Xenopus tropicalis: one gene and its partners. The protein of the gene in region 1 purifies or fractionates together with the protein of each later gene. This does not show direct contact. Links are inferred from orthologs where the notes say so. Each region holds a gene or a part of one and is shown on either strand. Other genes may lie near its edges.

Region 1 (2,187 bases):
GTGACACAACAAAAATTATTAGCAATGTTTTACCCCATCAACCATCAGATTTTTAAGCTGAGATGTATAGACGGTCCCTACTACAAAGAATCATAATAACCATTTACATCTATAGCTTAAATTAAAATACACCATATAAAATGCTGTCAGATGCAAAAATAAATGCAGCAAAGCTATGAACTAGAAATTCTTTCAATTATTTTCAATTCTTACCATCAACTGAGCCAAACTCCCTTTCATGTGCTCGGGTCAGAATTTCCTTGTACAGGGTCTCAGCTTGCTTAAACTTGCCTTGTTTTAGGTAGCAAGAAGCCTGAAAGCACACATTTTATATATTAATTGACAGTTGTACATTTACAAAATAACTGCTGCCCCACTGGCAAAAAAAGCTCACAAACACATATATTAATTACCAAGTTGTTCTTTGTTTTAGCCACATTTGGATCATCTGGTCCCAGTTTGGTTTGATATATCTCCAGTGCTCTCTGATAGTAATATTCCACCTCTTCATACTTTCCCTGGTTTTGGCACAACAAGGCCAAATTGTTTAACTGCTTGGCTACATCTGGGTGGTCTTTCCCGAGCACCTGCTCATACAAGATATAAAGTAAAAATTGTGAATTTTTGTGTATTTCCCCTGAGACATGTAGGCACATTAACTAAAATGCTCCAACACCACTGATGTGTAATGAATAAGCATTTCAACTGACATACTGACATATGGGTGTTTCCACAATGCCGGAACATGGACAGTGTTTTTGGCAACTTTAAATAGGAAAGCTGCCCTTCTAGCCCTGGCTTTATGCAATCATGTAATCACCATGGGCAGAAAAAGGTTATATCTCCCAAGGAAACCCATTACTTTTCTTTAGAATAAAAAAAAATTGTAGGAATATCAAACCTATGATCCATCCCAATGCATCACTTTGAACACAGATCTTCTAAGTTTTATTGTGTTAAAAATGAGATTTGTGTTTTGTGGAATTTCTGTAACAGCAAACATTGCTGGCCAAACTCTGCTCAGTAGCTTATTAATTGCAATACCTTTTCCCGGATCTCAAGAGCCCTTTTGCATAAGGGTTCTGCCTCCCTGTATTTTCCTCGTTTCCCATAAAGAACGGCAAGGTTGTTCAGAGTGGCTGCGACCTGTCAAGTGTAAAATATTGGTAATCAAGATATTTTCCCAAGGCATTGCAAAAGCAAAAAATATATATATTGTTTAATAACAAAGTAAATATTGAACAACAAATTATAGAATATGATAGATATTAGATATTAAGTCAAAGAAAGCGTTCTGTCTGCGAAATGCTTGATACTGTATGTAATATTTTGCAGAGTATTAAAAGACATTGTGATAAAACCAGAAGTGGGACCTTTAGTCTCTGCATAACTGTGACTTGGTGTATGGGTGTAGCTGCCTTAGTTCATTGTTTCTGTATAAATGATTGCTCACTCCTATTAAAAGATTTTGAACAAGAACAGTCTTGTAGAGCTCTGGAAACATGAGAGAATAAAAAACATTTTAAGGAGGGCAACATATTATTAAATTGTTCCTGCTAATAATTTACACTTTAAAGGAGAAGGAAAGGTAAACAATAAGTAAGCTTTTTCAGAAAAGTCTATGTAAATACAGGTATGGGACCTCTTATGCAGAACGTGAGCATGTTTTTGCCTGCAATAAGGATTAATTATATTTTAGTTGGGATTAAGTACAAGTTACTGGTTTCTAATTACAGAGAAAAAGGAAATCTTTAAAAATTAGAAATTATTTGCTTATAATGGAGTCTATGGCAGATGGCCTTTCCGTAATTCGGAACTTTCTGGATAACAGGTTTCTGGATAAGGGATCCCATACCTGTACAGCCATAAGCACTCACAGAAAAGCTGCACCGAGTCCTCTATCAAAAGAAACACAAGATTTCTGGTCTCCTTTTTGTAAACATGTTCTTCTGGTATGACTTACTCTCTCAGAAAAATCCTTCATTCTGGGGGACAGAGTCTGCATTGTTCTCTCCTCTCTCCTGCCACCCCCCCCCCCTCAAGAATGCTAAGGACTCCCTCCCCTCTTCTTGAGGAATGTGTGATCTGAGCTATAACGGCTAGAGCTATACAGCAGGAAGCTATGAAGACCAAGTTAAAATGGCAGCTGCAATCTTAAGCAAACAGAGAAAGCTTCTAGGGCTCTTT
Region 2 (4,105 bases), on another chromosome or scaffold:
TTATTGGAGCTCCCTATAGATCCCATCAGTTCTCTGGCCCTGTTTCAAATGAATGGTGGGCGTGTCATAACAGTCCCTTCCAGAAGTGCAGCCGGAGAGGAATAGCCAATTACAGCCTTGCACTCACACAAGCAAAGACAGGCTTCAGTTCCCTATCAGGTCAGCCTAGCTGATGATTGGTTCCTATCCTACAGTGCCGTTTACTGAGAGCAGCCGGCCCCCCTGCACATGCAAAGAAGTCAGCTAGCAGGAAGTGGAACAGATGGGCGGGGTTAGTGGGGTTTTGGTGGAATTTCTCAATAAATCAGACCGAAACACAATTTTTTAAAGAAAAATCCTTCTGTTTTTAGGGGAGTATAATTCACTGGTACATTCTTAATTTTTATATGATGTGCCTCCTTTAAGGGGGGGGGGTTAAAAAAGCTGTCCAGGTACCATACATTGTGTATAACCTGACAGCTTACTATCAGCATTTTGCACATTAAATGCACAACCTACCGCAACAAGAGATTTGCAGAGTGGGTCAAAACCAAATGGATTTCACTCGTTACAGATATTCATCTGGATAGCTTTTTAATCTGTTTTATTTACCGAAAAATAACAGGCATTTTTGGTGTTAACAGGATATAGAAAATGGTCCAATAAAATTGCGATTAGCTGGAGAAAGGCAATGTGCAGAAATCTAAATAGGGGTATTACTATCACTTTTACACTGGCACACGGGCACCACAGAGACTCCGTGATCCTGATACCCAACATATTGCTTTAAATGCCAAGCCTTGAGTTTCTGGAAGGTGCAGCCCTATAAGATGTAGCACTGCACTAGGCATCCATGTGCTTTCTAAGGGTGAAGACACACAGAGCTACTAGTAGCAGCTACTTGTGACGGCTACTAAAATAGACAATGTTGATCATTTACTGATAACTGTCTTTACGTGTGTTGTAGCAGAGGCAATTTTCAGTATTGTCTATGGCAGGGTATTTTCTGTCCCTTAGTAGCTGTAACAAGTAGCTTCTACTAAGTAGCTCTGTCTGTTTTCACCCTAAATGACAATGTGACATCTAGGGACTGGGGAAATAAGAGCCTTGCCAGAGGCCAAACACATGAAGCAAAGCAAATCAGTTGCTTACCCACACTGCTAAACAAGCCTGTAAACTCACAGTATGTTTCACAACATTTCCCTGCCAGGGATTTTTGTTTAAGCAGGAACAATATTTTCAATTTTACTGTGATCTTGAAAAATATGCATTCTTGCGGGTGCTGAAAGGCCAAAAAATGTGGCATTATAGCAGGACTTCCCCCCCACAGCAGCCTTTCAGGTTTTGCTGACCTGCACTCCTAGAGCCACAAACCGGACATGGGCGAATCGAGAAGAGTTGGGACCCGTGCAATGTACAGCGGGGACACAATGCTTCAACTGTCAGCTAGATGCTGACAGCTGTAGGTTGAGGCAGACAAACTGTCACATAAAGAAGTCTCTTATAGAACTGGGTATTAAAGACGAATTACTGCACGGCAAAAATGATCATTCTAAGAAACTTTTTAATAGAAATTCAGTTGATTCTTTTCACTGGGTCAGACTCTTGAAACAGCAAAGAAGAAGTTGCCCTCCTGGTCTGCAGCTGCTACATTGTTTCAGCAGTCAGAAGCAGGACTGCAGACAATATAAACAGATACTGTAGCAATTACCTTTACAGATGACAATAAAACCAGTGAATGTGTATGGGAAAGGAATACAAATGCCATGTTTTTTTATATACACTTTGGAAGCAACAAGCCAGTGGAAACGTGTCTGTATTTGCCCACAGGGGTGCCCCATGTCTGATCACAGTGCCCATGGGCAGGAGGGGCAGCAGGCACCCACCCTGATATAAGGCTCTGTATGTCTGGCTTCAGCTGCTGCTGCATGGCACTCCTCATTCATTAGGCTGATAATTACAATGGCACTTGGGGCAGCTGCTGAGTAAAGCTGGGCACTCCCATGTGTGAGGGATGCCGCCTGCCAGCACTCATTCTGCCCTCCCTGCTGCGGATCATTTGTTCGCTGACAACAAGAGGTTAATACCCCCCCCCCCCCCCATTCACAGCAATATGTCAGCTCCAACCCGTATCAATGCCAATATGTAGACTCATACGTTCCACCATAATAACGTAGCCCTTATAGGGAGTAAGGCTAAGTTGCACCATAATAACGTAGCCCTTATAGGGAGTAAGGCTAAGTTGCACCATAATAACGTAGCCCTTATAGGGAGTAAGGCTAAGTTGCACCATAATAACGTAGCCCTTATAGGGAGTAAGGCTAAGTTGCACCATAATAACGTAGCCCTTATAGGGAGTAAGGCTAAGTTGCACCATAATAACGTAGCCCTTATAGGGAGTAAGGCCCTGGGACGCAGGGAATGGTTGGCCCCAGAGTTAATGGAAGATGCTGGGAGTTGTCACAGCAGCGACACTACAGCCAATCCCCCCACCTAAGAGCCCATCCCTGCACACTCACCGCCATCACCACAGTATCTTCCCCTTGAAACTTGGCCACATACTTGTCCCCTCTGGTAACCTCGGAATCGTTCAGAGGCCTGAAACGGCACATCACTTTGATGCTGCACTCCGCCGGGTCCGCCATCTTGTCCGCCCCTTCCCCTCCGGCACAGGGGGCAACTGAGCACACGCAAATAGGACGCTGGCGGCTACTCCCGCTAAGTTATTGTGACGGTAAACCACCACCACCGCCGCAGCCGCTCCCCGGAACCGGTGAGTGAGCCGCTAAGCTTGGCGGACGGAGGCACTAGACTTCACTTCCCATCCAATATGGCAGCCACGGCGGTGACGCAACTACTGTTCCTCCCTCCCTGCCGGCTGTGAGCTGAGTGATGTCATCTTCGCCCTGAGACTAGACGCGCACACTGAGCAGAACTGGTGGGCGGGGCGTACTGTAAAGTGACGTATGCGGAAGCGTAAAGGGAATGTGTCAGGATAGAGCAGTGCGGTTGCGCAGTACGATCACGTGATCGTTTCCCTGCGCGCTAGTTTGTCAGGGTCGGGCGTCTGGGACAGTTCATTAGCGCGGCTGCGGATGAATAAGTGTGGAAAGCTGTTCGAAACAGTGAATGGGGGGCCACAGGCGTGGGGTCCTGCTATGCTTAGTGCAGGGAGTGGGCTTCCATAGCAGGGTTGCCAGATTTATTTTTCCAAACCAGGCAAAGTCAGTTCTAAACTAGCCAAAAGCCACTTTGAAAGTAGCCCAATATGCACAATGAAAAATATTTTTTAAAAAAGTATATGTAACCCTATTTTGGCTACGGTTGTACTTTAACCACGCAATCACCTGCGTGTGGCGCTACAGGAGCCCTGAGCCCCCGCTTATTTATGGGGGACAGATATGATATAAATGAATGGCGTGCCTCCACCCAGGGTAGGTATAGGTAGAACTATATGTCTCCTCCCTGGGAAATCTCAATGAGGTCCTTATTGGACCCGGACTCCCAGCAACTCCCGGTACCTTGCCCCTCCCTTGGGGTAGCTGCTTACCAGGCAGTTGAGGATCCTCAGTATATGAACAGCCAAGACACCGGTTAAAATGGTGAACCAGATGAACTTGTTTATTGATGCAGGCAGAACACTTCAGAGGATGTCACACAGACGGCTCAAGTCACACACTCTCTCTTTGGGCTACCCCCGGTACTCCCGCCGGATGCTTCCACCTAGGAACTCACCCCGGTCCACGCGTAGGGCCCCTTCACTGGGAACATTCCCAGGTGCTGACTTGGCGCCTCTTACTGAACATTAGAGGTCCTGAACTCCAGCCATGAATGCTGGGGGGTCTTAACCCCTCTCTCCTGTTGGGGGCTATCGCTGCCCGTACTCTCTAGCCTGCCTGTCACTCCTAGAGTGACCTGTCACAGTACCTCTTGTACTAGAACACTAGCCTGTTGCTGACCTCATTACAGAGGGGGTCCCAGGCAGAAAGACCTTCACAAAATTGGTGTCATCCCTTTTTATATTGCAGCACACTGCCACCTAGTGGTTGCTGCTGCATAACAGGGAAACTCCCTTTTCACACATAAACACTCAGGACCACCTTTAGGTGTCCAAATCACATAAGGC
Region 3 (3,521 bases), on another chromosome or scaffold:
AGGGAAAGAAGCACACCAGTTGTGTCGGCAATGCCTTTAAATCATTTATTTGCAGAAATGAGCAAAACAGCACAAGCTTTCGGGGGTGACCCCTTCCTTGCACCTGAGGAAGGGGTCACCCCCGAAAGCTTGTGCTGTTTTGCTCATTTCTGCAAATAAATGATTTAAAGGCATTGCCGACACAACTGGTGTGCTTCTTTCCCTTTGCAAAGCTACATGGAGAAAAGGCTTGGGAGCGGCCGTGGAAGTTAAGCACCCTCTGAGAACATGTATGTAAGTGGTGTGCTGAAGATTTTTCTTTATGTTGACCTACTCAGAGAGGACAGCATCCAGGGCCTGATGTAGATTTCAACAGGGGAGCTATATGGTCAGTGGGGTTATGGTTTTGCCAACATACATGGGCCACAAAGCTGACAGGTTGGTCAGAAGTGGCTAAGCCAGGGGACATTTACATTACCCCTTGGGCAAGTGCTATATCACAAGAGCATGCCCCTTAGTGCTCATTAGTATGCACTTGTGCCCTGGGGTAAACTGCGCAAGCACAGCTTCAGGAAGCCCAGCCAAACCTAAGGCTAATGCCACACAAGGCGTAGTGTGGATATTTTCGGCAAGCGGAAAAGCGCTTGCTGAAAATTTCGCCCTACGCCTCCTACATGTGCCTGCACCCGAATGAATGAGATACGCTCGGGTGCAGGCACATGTAGCCAATATACGCATGAAAATGCGAGATAATGCAAAGTCTCGCGTTTTTATGCGTATATCAGCTACATGTGCCTGCACCCGAGTGTATCTCATTCATTCGGGTGCAGGCACAAGTAGGAGGTGTAGGGCGGAATTTTTGGCAAGTGTTTTTCCGCTTGCTGAAAATATCTGCCCTACGCCTCGTCTGGCATTAGCCTTATCCTTGCTGCATGCTGCTCACTAACATGCACATCTTAATTACTCCACCTGCTCCTCCCCAATACAACACAACCAGCACTGTATTCATGGGGGGAACCGCAGGTCTCTGAGCTCCTAAGTGGTGTGCACACAGAAGATTATAATGTGCATAGTGCAAAAAAATGGCAGATTGCACACTGTGTTCAGCTTCACAAATAACTCCTAATATTTTCCCGCATTTAGCCATCTGTAAAGCAATATTGACAGCAGTGAGGAAATCTTTTCCTTCAATATTCCATAAATAATGACTATACATGTGAACTGACCAGACCATTTAAATGGGTTATAAAGTAGGTATTACCTGAAAGTGCACATGATATGAGAATTTATATGACTGCGTTATTAGCTGGCTGCTGTCTCCTGATGAAGAGGGAACAACTTGGACTGATCCTCAGCTTCACAGCCACATGGCAAATCGCTTCTGTAGTGAAAATAGAAACATTGTTTTGAAATAATGCAACAACTTCAAAGCAAAAATGGGTTTATCCGAAAACCCATTATCCAGAAAGCTCTGAATTACAAGAAGGCCATCTCCTATAGACTCAATTTTAAGCAAATACTTCTCATTTTTAAAAAGAATTTTTTTTTCTCTATAATTAACAGTCCTTTGGATCCATATTGGTGACAAAATAATCCTACATTATATAGTATTTTTAAAAACATTTCCTGTTATATGAAATACTGTTATATTAGCTGTACAGGATAGACTTATTAAATATCCAACAGGGAATTCCAGAGTGATTCACACCACTTTTCATATTAACACTTTCCTGGCTGTCATTGATTTTTCAAGGAAAGTGAAGAGGACAATTTTGCACACATCTCTATAAATCGTTAAAAGGGTTGTATGTTGTGTATTTATTAAACTAGAGTTCACACCAGCTCACCAGAAAGATTTTTTTTTTTTTTTAGATTTACTGAAGGGTAAAAAAGAAACTATAGGGGTCAATTAAGACCACAAGCGCAGTTGGAGTCCCACAAATTTCCCGCCAGTTAGTTGCCCATAAATCCCCATTCATTAAAAGTTAAAATGTGCTCCTTGCACCTCTGTATAGTTGCCTTTGTGCCTCTCAGTCCTTCATGCTTCCTGTTCCGTATCAAGCACAGTTGCACCTATTGACGCAGAAAATCCCTTTAGCTATTGCCACCTCTAGGCCAGGCGGTAGCTCCAGAATTCCCTTAGTGCACTGTATCAACAGGCGCAGCATGCTTGTATCTAATGAATCAGCCACACAAAGCACTCTCTCGCCAGACACCAGAAATAACGCCAACTGGACTTCAGTGAAAGCGTGTTTAATTAACATTGAAGTGCAAGTTAATTTTGATACATCAGCTACAATCGCATCAGGGACAACTCCCCCTGGTGGTGTAAGGACACTGGAATTATGTGAAAAAATGCTGAATAACGGGAAAAAACACAGTTTGGGCTCAAAATTTCACATTGCTTGCTGCACTTGGCGTTTAAAATGATCCGTTACATTTCGTATTGATAGCACAAAACAATACCTCAGTATCAGTAACAGAAAGATATCTTTCTATTGATGCGCTGTGTCATATCCTGATTAAGTTTAAATAGTGCTCCATTTTCAGTGCTGGGTACAACTGCTTTAGAGTCTTTGGTTAACATTCAAATGCAGTTGGCATTACAAAGAGGCTGTGATTTATTGTAGAGTAAGCAAGGGTAACGCTGTTCAAGGTTTGATATAAAGAAGGAGCATTATGATGGGAAATATACTTAGTGACAGAAGAATGCATTTTCATTGTATTTGTAATCTTTGTCACCTTTGGAATGAAGTCAAAAAGTAGAAAACATTATTAGTGCTTCTTACCTGTTATCATTGATATCTGTAGCATTTCCTGTGGGTATGAATATAACAAACATCAGTTTTATAAATGTAAATGAACCAAATAACAGTCACATTTCTACCATTGTCACTGTATCCCCTTAATAAGGAAATCAATTTATATAGGAGAGCAATGGATTTTGCAATGTGCACTGTGCATGTATTTCTGAGACTGTGTACTTACCAACTGAACCCCTGGAGGCTCTTATGGCTGGTCCTGATCGTTCTACCTCCTCCTCTGCCCACCTTATTAGCCCAATGTGTAACTTATAATTTAATTAAGACCCTTTATAAGCCTGCCACTGGCCATTGTCCTTGCTTGGTCATTAAGCTTTCTAGCCTAGATCTTGCCCTCTTGCGATTCGTGTTTTCCTGTTCCTGAGACCCCCATCTGGTTCCCAGTTCCTGAGTCCTTGCCTTGTTCTTTGTTTCCTGTCTTGTTCCTGTACTCATGTGCCCCTCCTAGCTCTGTTCTTGTAAATTTCCCAGTTTTGTTCCGTTCAGTTTTGTTCCGTCAGCTGCCTGTCCCGACTACTGGCCTGATTACTGATCTACATTTTTGACTGCCGATTGTTCCTGTCACTGGCCTGTATATTTGTTCATATTTTCAACTTGCACCAGTTGCTGTTCTGCTATTTTGTCTTCATTAAAACCTTGCATTCATGTTATCATGGCTTCCCAGCTTGGTTCTGCCATTTACGGGTATACCCCGAGTTACCCAGTATACAGACTCCCATT
Region 4 (3,521 bases), on another chromosome or scaffold:
GGTTTTTTCTTCCCATGTTCCAAAGACCATAAAGGCCGGTTAATTGGCCTCTGATGAAACTGAACCTAGTGCATGTTAATTTGATTTGCACGTTAGATTAAAAGATCCACACAACGTGACTCATTCTCCTTGTTCCTTGTTCTCATAAGGACTCAATATTTGGCATAGAACATAACAGGACAATATATAATTCTTCTTCTTATGTTCATAGAAACTAAGATATTGTCTACGCCATGTAGAGATATCTGAAGGGACATCATCTGGGGACAGTCATGTCCTTAGGCTGATCCCAAATCCAAACAAGATGGAAATATTTAGCAGCAGGATTCAGGCTGATTTAGTAGATGACCTTGTAGTTCTCTTAGGGCAATATATAGGGAATCCGTGGCTTCCTCCTTGATCTCTTCATCCAAAGACAGAAGAAAGATGTGGCATTTCTTTGGTGGTTTATCAAAGGGTGATGGGAATAGATAGAATATGGGATAAGAGACGGCATTTGGTAAAAGCCACCCTAAGGGGCTGATTTACTAATCCACGAATCCGAATCCGAAAAATTCGGATTGGAAAAAATGAACATTTTGCAACTTTTTCATATTTTTTGCGATTTTTTCGTTGCCGTTACGAATTTTGCGTAAATTGTCGCGCCTTTTTCGTAACCGTTACGACTTGCGCGAATTGTCGCGACTTTTTCATTGCCATTATGACTTTCGTGAATTGTCACGACTTTTTCATTGCCATTATGACTTTCGTGAATTGTCGTGACTTTTTCATTGCCATTATGACTTTCGTGAATTGTCGCAACTTTTTCATAGCCATTACGACTTTTGCGAATTGTCGCGACTTTTTCGTATTGAGAGCTCGAAAAAGTCGCGACAATTCTCGGAAAAGTCGCAAAATACCGTTCATTACGAAAAAAACGCATTCGGACGCTTTTCGGACGTTCGTGGATTAGTAAATGTGCCCCTAAGTGTCAACCTTTGGTATGAGTCATACAAGAGTCTCAGATATTGGGTAATTAATGAGCTAGCAGTTGGGCCTACACCAAATTAGAGTTTTTAGGGCCCCATTGTTTCAGTTGTCTGTGGGTGCTGGGTACTGTAGATCAATAACTGGAGGTCCACGGGCTTCTGTTATCTTGACCTCCTGTCAAAACCTTGTCATACTCCTGCCATCTTGCTGTACTATACTTGCTATCCCCCTTGATGTTCTCAGTACAACTTTCCATCCGTACCCCAATAAGTGCATGAGAACCCCACTCCCCAATACACTCCTGGGAATTGTAGGCTTTATTACCCAGAAAGTCTAACAAGTAACAGTGTCAGTGGACTTAAGGGTTAATAATTATAACACACTAATATCTAATTAACCAATCTCCACGCGCTACCTACCGCATACCGATTTCCCCCAAGCACCACCCACGCAGTTCAGAAGATATTTCGGATTATTTGTGCTCTTTATCGCTAACGATCGTAATAGCTACTTTGAAGGCCATTTACTTTGCATATCTTAATGGGTTTTTGTTATCTAGCAGCAGTTATGGTGGGAACAAATTTAATTTTGCACCATTTAGAAATGGCTGTTAATAGCGCCGGCTTGAATTTGCTGCGGAGAGCTGCATTATCCACAATTATGGATTCCCTCCATTATCTCAGCTCGGCAATGTTTAAAGAAACAGTAACACCAAAAAAAAAATATTATAAAAGCTTTACGTGACACGTTGTACAATTTCTCTCCCATGCAATGTAAAAATGTACTGTCCCAATGATGTGTTGTGTGAATGGACCCTCAGATCATGCACATTAATGAACAGTACTCAAAAGCTTTACTAGAAATCAGGGGCCCACTGGGTTCCCAAGTCAAGTGCCCACCATGCAGCCACCACCACCCCTGTCCAGCCCTGTCCCCTGTCCGTCCCCGCTCCAGCTCCACTACTTTTCCACTTTCAGGCCACAAAGCTAGGTTAAACAATTAAAGATGGCCATACATTCCACCGTGGAATGCATGGCCATCTTAAATTTTATTTGAATCTTTACTAAATTGGTGCTTAGGTGGCAGGGCCCAACAGGAACAGGATTTTTCCCAGTTTCCCGGGCCAGTCCGACCCTGGAAATACTACAGATAGTAGCAAATACAGACATCATTCTTCAGAACTGGGCCAAGGAACTTTGGCACCCAAGGTAACCAGCCTCTACAATGACTGTTGCATATGGGCTGATCAATCTGATCACTAGTGAAATGTGGCCCTCATAGACATCATAGATCAACAGAAATCCCTGGTCAACTAATAAAACCAATCAGTACAGACGTCCCACAGAGAACTCAATGTTGTAAAGAAATACAGATTGTCGGTGCCAAACAAGTTCTTCCTGGACTTACTGTTTTTTGGGTCAGTTCTTCTGAAAGCTGTTCATTAAGCTTTGTCTTGTCCTCCACTTCCTGAGATTTCTGATCATAGTTGACAGCTAGCTCTTCCAACGCCTGAAGCACCTCCTTCACCTCATCCTTGGCTGCATCGTTCTCTATCTGAAGGCGCGTCAGCTCCTCCTGGATCTTCTCGTAATCTCTCCTCGTTGATGCCAAAAGCTGAAAACCATAAACACACAGCAACTGTATGAACTATCATCCCCAGTTGGGAAGCCAAAATACTGAAACTCCTCAACAGAGCTGAAGGAATTGGCCACTGTTTAAATGTAGAACTGGGTTACCAAATCTTGTTGAGTTTAGGGTAGTTAGACAAAGAGGATTCTCTCTGGGCCTCCAGTACTAGAGGGGCTCCTTTGAGCATATACATCAGGGATATCCAACCTGTGTCCCTTCAGCTGTCAGATAAAGGCTATTGGGGGATGTTGGATTACATAGATTATTTTCTTTATCGGAAGGATCCTTAAGGCCCAAGACTCTTGACAATGTCTGGGTCTGAGCATCTCTAAATTCCACATATACCAATTTTGTGCATATGGAATCACATGGGTGGAGCTTGATAGGCTGCCTCTCTCAGTAAGAATCTCTAATTTAGCTCAATCTCACATATACCAAACTTTTTGGATGAGGAACCACATGGGTGGAGCTTGATGGCTTCTTCTATTAATAAGCATGTGTTTTTGAAGCTACCTGACTGCTCAACAGGGTATAGACAAAAAATAAATAAACTTGTCAGCCATGAGTTTCCAGCAAGAGTAATATTCAAGTATGTCCTTAACATAATGTGGTCAATAAGCGGAAATAATATTTTATTTTACCTCTTCCTGATCCAGCATTTGTTGCTTGAGTTTCTCTATCAGCTGGCTCTGCTGATTAATCTCATCATCCTAGAGAAACAGGGAAATGCTATCAATATATATGAAGAGGGAACAACGTATTGAGAGGCAGCAGTATTATAGATAGGGTGCTGGGTGGCTGTGTGATGGACAGCATGGAGTACAGAAAGGGCGTAGGATGTGGTGGCACATAATATGAAGCACTTCAATAGTGTTACTGTTATGTACTGGTAGCAAAAGTCTTCAAGGAAATGTAGACAATAA
Region 5 (3,521 bases), on another chromosome or scaffold:
TTTCGGACCATAAGACGCACCGGACCATAAGACGCACCAGTTTTTAGAGAAGGGAAATGAAGAAAAAAAGATTCTGAAACAAATAGTGTCCTAAAATATTTTATGTGCATTAAAACCCAACCCGTACCAGCAGCACCCAACATATTGCCCCCCCATCTGTACCAGCAGCACCCAACATATTGCCCCCCACCTGTACCAGCAGCACCCAACATATTGCCCCCATCTGTACCAGCAGCAGCAATCAGGAATTGCCCCCATTTCCTGTAAAAGCAGCCTACCTGCTCAGGCCTCAGGATGGTTTTCCGCGCCGCACCACAGCGCCTCTGTCCCTCTGGCTGCCTTAGTTTGATATAGCCTACAGATATACTTTAAGAAAAGGTTTTTTACTTGCCCGTGTGGTCTCCGTGCAGGGCCCTCCTCTATTTACCGGCGCTTAGCTCTGGCACTGTGCACATGCACAATGACGCGCATGCGTATGGGCATGCGCGTCATTGTGCATGCGCACAGCGCCAGAGCTAAGCGCCGGTAAATAGAGGAGGGCCCTGCACGGAGACCACACGGGCAAGTAAAAACATTTTTTCAAAGTATATCTGTAGGCTATATTCGGACCATAAGATGCAGGGACTTTTTCCCCCCACTTCTGGGGGAAAAAAAGTGCGTCTTATGGTCCGAAAAATACGGTAACAATAATAACTTCTGCCAATGTGTCACCCCTATTAAATTATAAACATAGGTCTCAAAACCCTTAAAAAAAAGGTACAAAAGTGTCGGAAAGAACACAGTTCTAAAGTGTCAACTGCCAAACTGTAAAAGTGTCTTAAAGGACATGTAAACCCTGCACACAAAAATTTAATCAGTGAACAGCCTCTTTGAAATCTTTCAATATCCGCCACACTGGTTGTCCAGAAAGCTTAGGTTGTCCTGAAAACTAAAAGTCCCCCCAAGGAAAGGCCCCTTAAGCAAAACAGTGCAAAATATTCAAAAACTGTCTGGCAGTAGTTCTGCTTTGACCAAAATGGCTGGAAGTGAAAGGGTTAAAGATGAGAGCTTCTTACCATCCTTATCAATGGTGAAAGGCACATCAGGTGTTACAATCTCATAGCTGCAGATCTGACTAAATTGCGGAGAGCAATCAGCATCTACAGCTTCTACCCTTAATATATTATCATACTTTTTCCCTTCTCGGACAGTAACTTTGTAGGATTTTTCTTTGAAGACTGGTGCATACTCGTTCACATCATTTACTTGTATGTGTACTGATGCCCTGTAATAAACAAATAATTCAAATTAGACTATTACAAAATAAATGTTCATTATTTTTTAATATATCAGTATTCCTGTCTAAAGTTTAAATTACAGTTAGTGGGTTCCATACAGCTCACACAGATTCATCTCACTTTATTAATCACTTGATTAATGCTTTTAGAGATTTTAACATTACGACCTCAGATTACTCTTACACTCTCTGAATTAGAGAATCTTAGCTATAAGTATCTATTACACTTATGCTATGATTTATTGAAAAATGTAATTTCACACACTGACTACATTATAAAACCTGCAGATCAGCAGGAAAATCATTTACATTTAAAAAAACACTATAAAAGTTGTATGATATTCTGCCTGGATCTGAACCAGGGACATAAAGGTTAATGTGCAGTTCTCCAACACTTGACCCAAGATTGCTTGGGTGTTTTGTTTCCAGGTTCCTGTTTTGTTATACATTGTTTCGGACTCTTGTTCTGTCCCTAATATTGAGATCCTGGTTTTGTACTTGGCCTATTTCCGATTTTTGAGATTGCCTCAAGAATGGCTTTTGTACAGTGTCTTTGGATTTTTATGTAGTAACTAGTGACGAGTGAAATTTTTTGCCAGGCATGGATTCTTAGTGGCACCTGAGAAGCTGAGGGCCAGGCCAAATGTTATAATCATTAATCACAAATCCCGACATAAACCCACCAAGTTAGTTAAATATATATACATCTGAGGAGCCAGATAATGAAGGCTTCCCTTGTAATATGCCCAGTTCTAGTAATTTAGCTACTGACGCGTGGGTCACTCGGGAGGAAATTCAAAAGAGACTTGAACATGTAAAGGTAAACAAAGGTCCAGGGCCGGATGGGATTCATCCCAGGGTATTAAATGAGCTGAGCGCTGTGATTGCCAAACCTCTTCACTTAATTTTTCAGGATTCATTGAGGTCTGGCATGGTGCCAAGAAACTGGCGGATTGCTAATGTGGTGCCGTTATTTAAAAAGGGATCCCGTTCTCAGCCTGAAAACTATAGGCCTGTTAGTCTGACATCAGTAGTAGGAAAACTTTTGGAAGGGGTAATAAGGGATAGGGTACTTGAATACATTGCAGTTCACAATACTATTAGTTTGTGCCAGCATGGTTTTATGCGTAACAGATCTTGCCAGACTAATTTAGTTGCCTTTTATGAGGAGGTGAGTAGGAACCTTGATGCTGGAATGGCAGTTGATGTCATCTACTTGGACTTTGCTAAAGCGTTTGATACAGTACCTCACAGAAGGTTAATGATCAAATTAAGGAATATTGGCCTAGAACATAATATTTGTAATTGGATAGAGAACTGGCTGAAGGATAGAGTACAAAGAGTGGTTGTAAATGGAACATTTTCTAATTGGACCAGTGTGGTTAGTGGAGTACCGCAGGGGTCAGTCCTTGGGCCTTTGCTGTTTAACTTGTTTATTAATGACCTGGAGGTGGACATAGACAGTACTGTTTCTATTTTTGCTGATGACACTAAATTGTGCAAAACTATAAGTTCCATGCAGGATGCTGCCGCTTTGCAGAGCGATTTGACAAAATTAGATAACTGGGCAGCAAACTGGAAAATGAGGTTCAATGTTGATAAGTGCAAAGTTATGCACTTTGGTAGAAATAATATAAACGCAAACTATCTACTGAATGGTAGTGTGTTGGGGGTATCCTTAATGGAGAAGGATCTAGGGGTTTTTGTTGATAACAAGTTGTCTAATGCCAGGCAGTGTCATTCTGTGGCTACTAAAGCAAATAAAGTGCTGTCTTGTATAAAAAAGGGCATTGACTCAAGGGATGAGAACATAATTTTGCCCCTTTATAGGTCCCTGGTAAGGCCTCACCTTGAGTATGCAGTGCAGTTTTGGGCTCCAGTCCTTAAGAAGGATATTAATGAGCTGGAGAGAGTGCAGAGACGTGCAACTAAACTGGTAAAGGGGATGGAAGATTTAAACTATGAGGTGAGACTGTCGAGGTTGGGGTTGTTTTCTCTGGAAAAGAGGCGCTTGCGAGGGGACATGATTACTCTGTACAAGTACATTAGAGGGGATTATAGGCAGTTGGGGGATGTTCTTTTTTCCCATAAAAACAATCAACGCACCAGAGGTCACCCCTTTAGATTAGAGGAAAGGAGCTTCCATTTGAAGCAGCGTAGGTGGTTTTTCACGGTGAGGGCAGTGAGGTTATGGAATGCCCTTCCTAGTGATGTGGTAATGGCAGATTCTGTTAATGCCTTTAAG

Evidence for each region.
Region 2: the proteins of klc1 (region 1) and kif5b purify together in Homo sapiens (co-immunoprecipitation; 11 studies listed by BioGRID and IntAct, counting the BioPlex papers as one, with this or other methods). This does not show direct contact. The link is inferred for Xenopus tropicalis from reciprocal best matches to the Homo sapiens genes KLC1 and KIF5B.
Region 3: the proteins of klc1 (region 1) and kif5a purify together in Homo sapiens (co-immunoprecipitation; 7 studies listed by BioGRID and IntAct, counting the BioPlex papers as one, with this or other methods). This does not show direct contact. The link is inferred for Xenopus tropicalis from reciprocal best matches to the Homo sapiens genes KLC1 and KIF5A.
Region 4: the proteins of klc1 (region 1) and kif5c purify together in Homo sapiens (co-immunoprecipitation; 4 studies listed by BioGRID and IntAct, counting the BioPlex papers as one, with this or other methods). This does not show direct contact. The link is inferred for Xenopus tropicalis from reciprocal best matches to the Homo sapiens genes KLC1 and KIF5C.
Region 5: the proteins of klc1 (region 1) and clstn1 purify together in Homo sapiens (co-immunoprecipitation; 3 studies listed by BioGRID and IntAct, with this or other methods). This does not show direct contact. The link is inferred for Xenopus tropicalis from reciprocal best matches to the Homo sapiens genes KLC1 and CLSTN1.

The regions. Positions count from the first base shown.
Region 1 is NC_030684.2:98,530,174-98,532,360, reverse strand, and holds part of klc1 (kinesin light chain 1), read right to left. Parts: intron 1,147-2,187; coding exon 1,045-1,146; intron 588-1,044; coding exon 414-587; intron 314-413; coding exon 214-313; intron 1-213. UniProt on the Homo sapiens protein: Kinesin is a microtubule-associated force-producing protein that may play a role in organelle transport. The light chain may function in coupling of cargo to the heavy chain or in the modulation of its ATPase activity.
Region 2 is NC_030682.2:22,971,288-22,975,392, reverse strand, and holds the start of kif5b (kinesin-1 heavy chain), read right to left. Parts: upstream 2,801-4,105; 5' UTR 2,625-2,800; coding exon 2,499-2,624; intron 1-2,498. UniProt on the Homo sapiens protein: Microtubule-dependent motor required for normal distribution of mitochondria and lysosomes. Can induce formation of neurite-like membrane protrusions in non-neuronal cells in a ZFYVE27-dependent manner.
Region 3 is NC_030678.2:140,743,354-140,746,874, reverse strand, and holds part of kif5a (kinesin heavy chain), read right to left. Parts: intron 2,797-3,521; coding exon 2,769-2,796; intron 1,361-2,768; coding exon 1,282-1,360; 3' UTR 1,241-1,281; intron 1-1,240. UniProt on the Homo sapiens protein: Microtubule-dependent motor required for slow axonal transport of neurofilament proteins (NFH, NFM and NFL). Can induce formation of neurite-like membrane protrusions in non-neuronal cells in a ZFYVE27-dependent manner.
Region 4 is NC_030685.2:77,053,496-77,057,016, forward strand, and holds part of kif5c (kinesin heavy chain), read right to left. Parts: intron 3,309-3,521; coding exon 3,240-3,308; intron 2,584-3,239; coding exon 2,377-2,583; intron 1-2,376. UniProt on the Homo sapiens protein: Microtubule-associated force-producing protein that may play a role in organelle transport. Has ATPase activity. Involved in synaptic transmission. Mediates dendritic trafficking of mRNAs.
Region 5 is NC_030683.2:55,918,246-55,921,766, reverse strand, and holds part of clstn1 (calsyntenin-1), read right to left. Parts: intron 1,265-3,521; coding exon 1,056-1,264; intron 1-1,055. UniProt on the Homo sapiens protein: Postsynaptic adhesion molecule that binds to presynaptic neurexins to mediate both excitatory and inhibitory synapse formation.